Linked DNA regions of Neurospora crassa OR74A. The protein of the gene in region 1 purifies or fractionates together with the protein of each later gene. This does not show direct contact. Links are inferred from orthologs where the notes say so. Each region holds a gene or a part of one and is shown in the gene's direction. Other genes may lie near its edges.

Region 1 (4,191 bases):
GGCAAGCGACGCTGGCACGGCCGGGAATGTGGTTGACAGAGGTCTCGAATGTCGTTGATGGCTTCGAGTCAATGTCGCGTCCCAAACAGCTGGGCAGGATGAAGAATACAAACACCCAAATCCGGACTCTGTGGTTCACTCTGTTGATGAAGAAAGGCGTGCTCGGTGTCTCACGTGATGCAGGCATTGTTGATGCTTCTCGCTTGTGAAAATGCCAAGAACATCATCGACATCTGATTTAGGGTTTTCCGGGGTTGTGTTGGCAAGGCATGCGGAGTCGATGACACCCGGAGAGGCATTCCGGAGCTCAGTCCTAGGGACATTCGCCTCGACTCCCGCCTTGGTAACCCCACCTGACCATCACCAAGGATCTCTTTCCTGGTTGAGCGCAAACAAAGAACAGCTTGGACTTGGTCCGGAAGTTGTGTAATGATGATTGCCCCTGAAGTGAGGAACGAATAGTGGTGGGCCATTGATTCTCGGATGGGGACCAAAGAACAATTATAAGTCTTGTTCGGACGCCCTTCATCTTTTGGACTCGCCATCCAACCCTCATTAACCATCCGGTTCATATCTCAGGATCCCACGTCCCAGACACATCCTTAACAACCCATCCGATAACGCGGCACTGTCGACCAGGTTCTTCCAACTTATACAAACCATGAATCTGGAGAGCTACTCACGACTCATTTCCTCCGACCAAGACGAAGACGTCAAGGCAGAGAATAGGGCTTGCACAACGCTATTGTCGCTCTTGATGCTTGTTGGGATCCTTACGTTGGGCGCAACGATGTGGCATGGGAACAGTTAAAGAACTGAAACCTGCGTAACATCTTCGGTAGGTAGTCAATCCGCGAACACTGTCAATTCATGCGATATCAGTCGTCCTAACGAGTGGAAGGTCCAGATTCGATGACCAGCGACAGCGACAGCGGACAGGACTGGATGGCCGATCGGTGGGTGGGTGACGTCGAATGGGAGTTCTCTGGTCATAAGTTGAAGGACGGCCGATGAGGCATGCGATGACAGGATTATACGTTGGATTCCGAATGACGGACAAGTTGATACCCGAATTTGTTGGATTGGATGGTCGAGGACAATCATCGACGGGATTGCTGGAGGACGATGGCGTTTTTGGAGTTTTTCGAGGTTGAACAGCCCTGCGCTGACAGCGTCAGTGGACTTTGGCTTTTGACGGAGTTTTTAGCGGGCTCCATTTGCTGCATGCCAGGGCACCAATGCGGGGAAGTGGATTGATCCATAGCACAGGACTTGGCGTTTTAGGTGGGGCACCTTGACATTAGCATGTGCAGACCGCCTTTGGCAGAATCAACAACGCTCCACTAAAATTTTCTCGGACTTTGCGTGCTGTGCACATGTCGGGTCGAATCTGCGAGTTTCCTTGCTGCCGTCGAATCCTCGATTTTGGATCGCATCAGTCACCATCTCCACATCCACCATGCCCAAAGATAACAAGCCTAAAAAGCGCGATGGCGCTCCTGCGATTACCGATGCTCGCTTTGCCAACTTCGAGACCGACCCGCGATTCCAGCTGCCCTCAAAAAAGAACCTAAAGACCAAGCTCGACAAGCGTTTCTCCAAGGTTCTCAAAGATGCAGAGTTCACCGCCGTCGCAAAGGTCGACAGGTACGGCCGCAAGCTAAAGACCGACACCAAGAAGAAGGCTTTGGAACGGCTGTACGAGGATGAGAGCGAGGACGCCACAGACAACGAGGCCAAAGAGAAGGCCAGCAAGGGAAAGAAGGACGAAGCGGAAGACGAGAGCGACTTCGAGGTCGAGGACGACGACATTGTTCAGCGCGAACTCGAGGCTGCCAACTCATACGACCCTGCCCGTGGCGGCGGTTTTTCTTCATCCGATGACGACTCCGACTCCGACTCCTCAGATTCCGAAGACGAAAAGCCAGAGGTGGAAGACGAGGCTGATGCGGAAACACGACCCGGTATCCGCTTGCGCAAGGATAAGGAGGCTGTTGAGGAAGGCGAGATCACAAACAGAGTTGCCATCGTCAACATTGACTGGGACCATATCAAGTCGATCGATCTATTCGCCCTCTTCTCGAGCTTCGTGCCCCCAGGTGGTCGCATCGAGAAGGTATCTGTCTACCCTAGCGAGTTCGGCAAGCAGAGGATGCAAAGAGAAGAGCTGGAGGGTCCTCCCCAGGAGATCTTCAAGAAGAAGAGTGACTCCGATTCCGACAGTGACTCGGAGGACTCTGATTCGGACGAGGCCATCAAGAAGGAGCTTCTTGAGGAAGGAGACGACCAGGACTTTGACAGTGACGCCCTTCGCACTTATCAGCTCGACAGGTTACGTTACTACTACGCCGTTATGGTTTGCTCCGACAAGAACACAGCATACAAGATCTACGAGGCGACGGATGGCAACGAGTATCTTTCTTCTTCCAACTTCCTCGACTTGCGATTTGTCCCCGACGATGTCACGTTCGACGACGAACCCAGAGACGAGTGCGACAGCGTCCCTGCGGGGTACAAGCCGGTGGAGTTCGTGACCGATGCTCTCCAGCATTCCAAGGTCAAACTCACCTGGGATACGAACCCCGAAGATTACTCAAGAAAAGAAGCTCTCAAGAAGGCCTTCACCGGTAGCCGCAACGATATCGCCGAGAACGACTTGCGCGCTTACCTTGCGAGCGACAGCTCAGACGACGAGGAGGACGAGGAGGAGAAGGAGCAGTTCGAGGCCGAGGGGGCCGCTGCCGAGGAAGCAGAAGAGGAAAAGACACTGTCCAAGAAGGAGCTTGCCAGGCGCAAGATGCGCGCTGCTCTTGGTCTTGCTGACGAGCCCGTGGTAAAGTCCAAGAAGGATACTCCGGTGGGCGAGATGCAAATCACCTTCACGCCAGCACTATCCGCCAACGACAAGAAGAAGGGTGACGAAGATAGGGAGGAGACGACCATCGAGAAGTACAAGCGCAAGGAGCGCGAGAGAAAGGAGAGGAAGCGGCAGGAGATGCTTGCTAGGAGGGAAGGTCGCGATCCCAACGCCGCTCCTCAGCAGGAGGAAGAGCAAGGCGACCAAGGCGAAGATCTCGGTTTCGACGATCCATTCTTCACTGCTGAGCCTGTGGTGCCTTCCAAGACGGCGATTCGCAAAGAGGAGAGGCTCAAGAAGAAGGCTGAGAGGGAAGCTGAGGAGGCTGCCAACGCCGCCGAGAAGGCACAGCTGGAGCTGCTTATGGCTGATGAAAACGGTGACAGTGGCCGTCTCGATCACTTCGACATGAAGCAGATCGCCAAGGTCGAGAAGGTCAAGGGCAAGAAGAAGGGCAAGAAGGGCAAGAAGGGCGTGGAGGGCAACGATGGTCTCCAGGAAGAGTTCGCCATGGACGTCGAGGATCCTCGTTTCAAGGCCGTTTTCGAGAGCCACGAGTTCGCTATTGATCCCTCTAATCCTAAGTTCACGGCTACTCAGGGTATGAAGAAGCTTCTTGAGGAGGGCAGAAAGAAGCGCAAGGATGGACCCAGTGTTACGGAGAAGAGTGAGAAGAGCGCCAAGAAGGTCAAGACTGACGACGCGGATATCGATGGTCTGATCAACTCTGTCAAGAGGAAGGCGAAGGCGAAGGCGAAGAAATGATTGCATCACGGGTAACAGCATATTAATGGCAAGTTTTTGATTTCTGTTGGTTCACATCCATCTGTCGTTCCTCCACTGTCCAGTCTTGTAAATGGTCCTTGGGTCAATGTGGTTTAAATTCAGGTCATGTAGGGTTGCTCCCTTTGTCTTTAATGATCGTCCCCTTTTGTGGATGAGGACAGAACCACGTACAGCTACCTCGCAACTCTTTTCCACTTCACAATGGCGGCCATAATATGTGGTACTCGAGGTCCATCAGTTCCTCATGGCCATGTAAGTTGGAGCTTTTGTTGTCGAGATGTTTGCCTTTACCTTTCTTAATCTCTCTCCCCGAGGAAATAACTCTGTGTGTCTGGCAAAACCCCTGGAAAGACACTGGGCCTCCGACATTCTTCCCTCGACAATTGTGTTCGTCTTATCCATAGCTACCTCTTTTCATCGTCCTTCGAGGTTTGCAAGCGATTCTCAACCTCCGGCCAGTCGTCAAGGTTCCTCCGTCAGATCCACAACCGGAACCTCTTCCCCTCCCATCTCCACCGGCAGCCACTCCTCCACATCATCCCTCGTTC
Region 2 (3,977 bases), on another chromosome or scaffold:
GTTGGCGGCAACGGGTTCGTAAACGCGAAAAGAAATGGCGGAAAGATTATTCTGCAGGAGAGACGCGTGAGTTAGGGGGGGGGAGTGGGAGGCGGTGGTCCGAGGACGGGACAGGCCAGCATACAATTAGCAAGGTATTGGTATCATAGTCGCCAGTGTCCATATCTGAAATAGAGATGCCTTTGGAGGCGGAGTCGCAGAAGTCGTAGTGACCATGCACCGGGCGCGAAGGCGTGTTAGCGGAGTGGGATGAGGGCGCATGTAGGCCGGCGACGGCGGCCTGAGGGACGGTGTGATGGCGTGTTGGGATGAAAGTCTACTGTGGCGACGCTCAGAAGTGGAAGCTGTGGAAGCCGAACTTCAAACAGCATGGATGATGAACTCGGTAGTTGTCTTGAGCTGTACGTCGTTGGGATGCTGGACTCCATGGCAGCAAGGCCCCTGTCCATACAGCGCGAACCGTCGCGGATCACCGACCATGCGCCCACGAGGTCATTTGCGGGTTCGGGACCTGGGAGATGGGACGGAGTGAGGAGCTGTAAGGCGGGAGGGGGATGCGATGGGATGACGGGATGCGATATTACTGTAGGTTAGTGTCGTGGGACTGAAGGATGGTGGACATCGGTTCAGGTAGGTAGGTAGTTGGCGGTCCGGTGGTAGTAACGAATACGGTGACGGCGGGCAGTAATCGTGACTTCACAGCCGCCATCGAGGTGGCCGACTCGAATCAAAAGGAATTCGGTCCAGTAAAGTCCATTGCAGTCAGTTGGGTTCCAGGTCGGCGGGATGCCCTGCCCGCCGATGCGACAGGCGAACAGCCACGCAGGCAGTTAGGTTCGGATCAGCGACGGGGGAGGACCCACACTACCTCTAGAGGTATCCACAGCTGAAAGGACCCTGCTGCCAAGCACAATCCAGGCCTGCCACCTCACCTACCTAGAGGCACCCGGCCTAGGTACTGCAATGACCTGCTGACGGCGACGCCCGCCTACCAGAATTCAAAGGTCCACCACGGGCAGTCCTCCCGTCCCGCTTCCTCTTCAAGCCGCCTTATCGCCCTACTACCTTTCGCTTTATCGCCGGTGGCTCTCCGCCTTCCTTATTTGGCGACCATGGCACTTCTCTGAACTTTTTGCAGATTTTCTGCCGCAAAAAGTTCAGATACGGGTTAGGGTTGTTCTCCAAAACTTCCCATTCAGCAGATAGTAGCAGTTGAAGCTTTCTCTGCTTTCTCAACATCTTCCATCCTTGCCCCATCCCTCATCACCAACAAAACCACCCATCATGAAATTGACAAATCCCGGCGCGGTGCCAGTGTACGTCTATTTGCCATTGGAAAAGAGAGATCCGCTGTGAAATGCTAACCATCATCGCAGATACACCGTATCTGGGCCGTCGACTGCGAGACCCCTTCCAGAATGGCTTGCCCGCCGCAGAAAGAGATCGGCCAAGTACGAGCCCGAAGAACTCAACAACTTCGAGCTCCTCCAGAACTTCGACTTCGAGGAGGCCAGCAACTGCGTCCGTGTCAGTGAAGATGGCAACTGGATCATGAGCTCCGGTACCTACAAGCCCCAGTTCCACGTCCACAACACACAGGAACTGTCGCTGTCTTTCGCTCGCCACACCAAATCCGAAAACACCACCTTCATTATGCTCAGCCAAGATTACACCAAGAGCGTACACCTCCAATCCGACCGTTCGATCGAATTCCATACCCCCATGGGATGTCACTACGAAGTCAGACTCCCGCGCTTCGGCAGAGACCTTGCATATCTCCGTCAAAGTACAGAAGTGCTCATTCCCTCTGTCGGTTTGAGTGCGGATGGTTCTGGTATGGGCGAGGTTTTCCGCCTCGATCTGGAGCGCGGCCAGTTCCTGAGGCCATGGCAGGTGGATGTGGGTGAAGATGAGCCCGGTGCTGGTCTTCAGGGAAGCATCAACGTCGGAGCTGTTAATGTCGCGGCCGTCGCCGAGTCCACACACGGTCTTTGCGCCTTCGGAACGACCGTCGGCACAGTCGAGTTCTACGATCCCCGTAGCAGGAACCGCGTTGCTGTATTGGGCGGCCAAGAGGGCGAAATCACTGCGTTGGATTACAGCAGAGACGGTCTCTCTCTTGCGCTCGGAACAGGCACGGGTATTGTTCAAGTTTTCGATCTGAGAAACCCTCGCCCGCTTATGCGGAAGGACCAGGGCATGGGTCTTCCCATCAAGAACATCATCCACTTGACGACTCCTACCGAGGAAAAGAAGCTTCTCACGGCCGATAAGAGAATCATCAAGCTCTGGGACGAACAGAGTGGCGACCTCTGGACCTCAATCGAGCCGACCGTTGACATTAATCATGTGGCGCATGTCCCCGATTCCGGCATGCTATTGACGGCAAACGAGGGCAAGCAGATGCACAGTTTCTTTATTCCCAACCTTGGCCTGGCTCCCAGGTGGTGCCATTTCCTCGACAACATGGTCCACGAAATGGAGAACGAGAAGCGTGTCGACACATACGACAACTACAAGTTCCTTACGATACCCGAACTCAAGCAGCTCAGCTTGGCTCACTTGGTTGGCAAGACCAACCTGTTGCGTCCTTATATGCACGGTTACTTTGTACATTCCAAGTTGTACGACCAGGCTCGTCTCATTGCCAATCCGTATGTCTGGGAAGAGGAGCGGGCCAAGCGCGTCAAGGAGAAGGTTGAGAAGGCTCGCGAGAGCCGTATCAGAGGTGTCAAGAAGGTCAAGGTCAACCAGAAGCTGGTTGACAAGATTGTTGATCGTTCCGACAAGAAGAAGATTGCCGCTGGCGTCTTGGGCGATTCTCGTTTCGGCAAGCTGTTCGAGGATGAGGAGTTCAAGGTCGATGAGACGTCCAGGGAGTTCAGAGCCCTCAACCCCAGCACCCAGGTTGGCGGACAAGATGTCGCAGTACAGCATGTCAAGGACGACTCTTCAGTTACCAGCAACAGTGACGATGAGAGCGATCCGGAAAGCGAGGTCGAAAGCAAGAAAAAGAAGAGCAAGAAGAGCAAGGATGACGTGGTCATGCAGGTCTCGTCGTCCAAGATTGCGGGCGGCAAGGCGAAGGATACGGCATTCGGCCAAAGAGCTCCAAGGACCGGGCGCGTCACTAAGACCCGAACGGACGTGGTCGGAGAGCAGAAGATTACGTTCGTGCCCGAGTCCAAGAAGAAGAAGCAGGCTGAACCCGAGGCTGCACCAACACGGAAGAGACATGATGGGAGGCGAAGTGCAAGCACGAACACCTTTAGACGACTGTAAAACGCCAGAAGCTTATTGGTCCAACCCTATATACTATACATGTGAAAAAGTCATGGTATCTTTCATGTCAACTCCTCCAGGCCGTGGTGAACCGGCCAAGAACATCATTGCCGTCCACGGCACACATTTCTTTCCGAATACGAGTCGCAAAGCAATAGGCTCGCGCGACCAGCGATACCCAAAATATACCCCAAGCTTGCCATTTTCGTCATCAAATGGTTCATTATATCTCAACTCGTGCTGTCTGATTTTCTCTTGCGCCACACCGGCTCACTTCCGACTGAAGTTGATGCGTGTCTTTCCTGACTTCTCCGGCTTCCCCATGCCCTTTTCCAAATCCAGATGCTCGGGTTTGATGCGCGGGGTGGGTGGCACATCATCGATCCTTACACGGCCTTTATGTTGGGATCTGGTTGATCGGAAAGATCCCTTGACCGATCTGGGGAACTCGCTGCGTCGTGGGGTCAAAGCCGTGACGACCCTCTTTGCCGACTTTCGAATGGTCTCCCTGACCTTCCACTCATTTTTCTTTGCCAGGAAGAAGAGAACTGCGCTACCGACTGTTGGAGGGAGGGTCAATATCATGTCCGGTCAGTGCAGTATTGCTGATGGGCGAGAAAGACTTACCACCGAAGATGGTGACGACACAAACAACCACAATGATGGCGATCAGACCACCTTGAGATAGCCCGACG

Evidence for each region. The genes of interacting proteins can lie anywhere in the genome.
Region 2: the proteins of NCU04485 (region 1) and NCU03961 purify together in Saccharomyces cerevisiae (affinity purification with mass spectrometry, with the first as the bait; 3 studies listed by BioGRID). This does not show direct contact. The link is inferred for Neurospora crassa OR74A from reciprocal best matches to the Saccharomyces cerevisiae genes ESF1 and ENP2.

The regions. Positions count from the first base shown.
Region 1 is NC_026504.1:3,204,099-3,208,289, forward strand, and holds NCU04485 (pre-rRNA processing protein Esf1), read left to right. Parts: upstream 1-1,391; 5' UTR 1,392-1,459; coding exon 1,460-3,622; 3' UTR 3,623-3,868; downstream 3,869-4,191. Other genes in the region: NCU04484 (hypothetical protein), read right to left, coding at 4,106-4,191. UniProt on the Saccharomyces cerevisiae protein: Involved in the 18S rRNA synthesis. Required for the early cleavages at sites A0, A1 and A2.
Region 2 is NC_026506.1:2,245,952-2,249,928, reverse strand, and holds NCU03961 (WD repeat protein), read left to right. Parts: upstream 1-1,177; 5' UTR 1,178-1,284; coding exon 1,285-1,316; intron 1,317-1,376; coding exon 1,377-3,282; 3' UTR 3,283-3,552; downstream 3,553-3,977. Other genes in the region: NCU03962 (hypothetical protein), read right to left, coding at 1-51, 125-163; NCU03960 (hypothetical protein), read right to left, coding at 3,553-3,842, 3,910-3,977. UniProt on the Saccharomyces cerevisiae protein: May be involved in rRNA-processing and ribosome biosynthesis.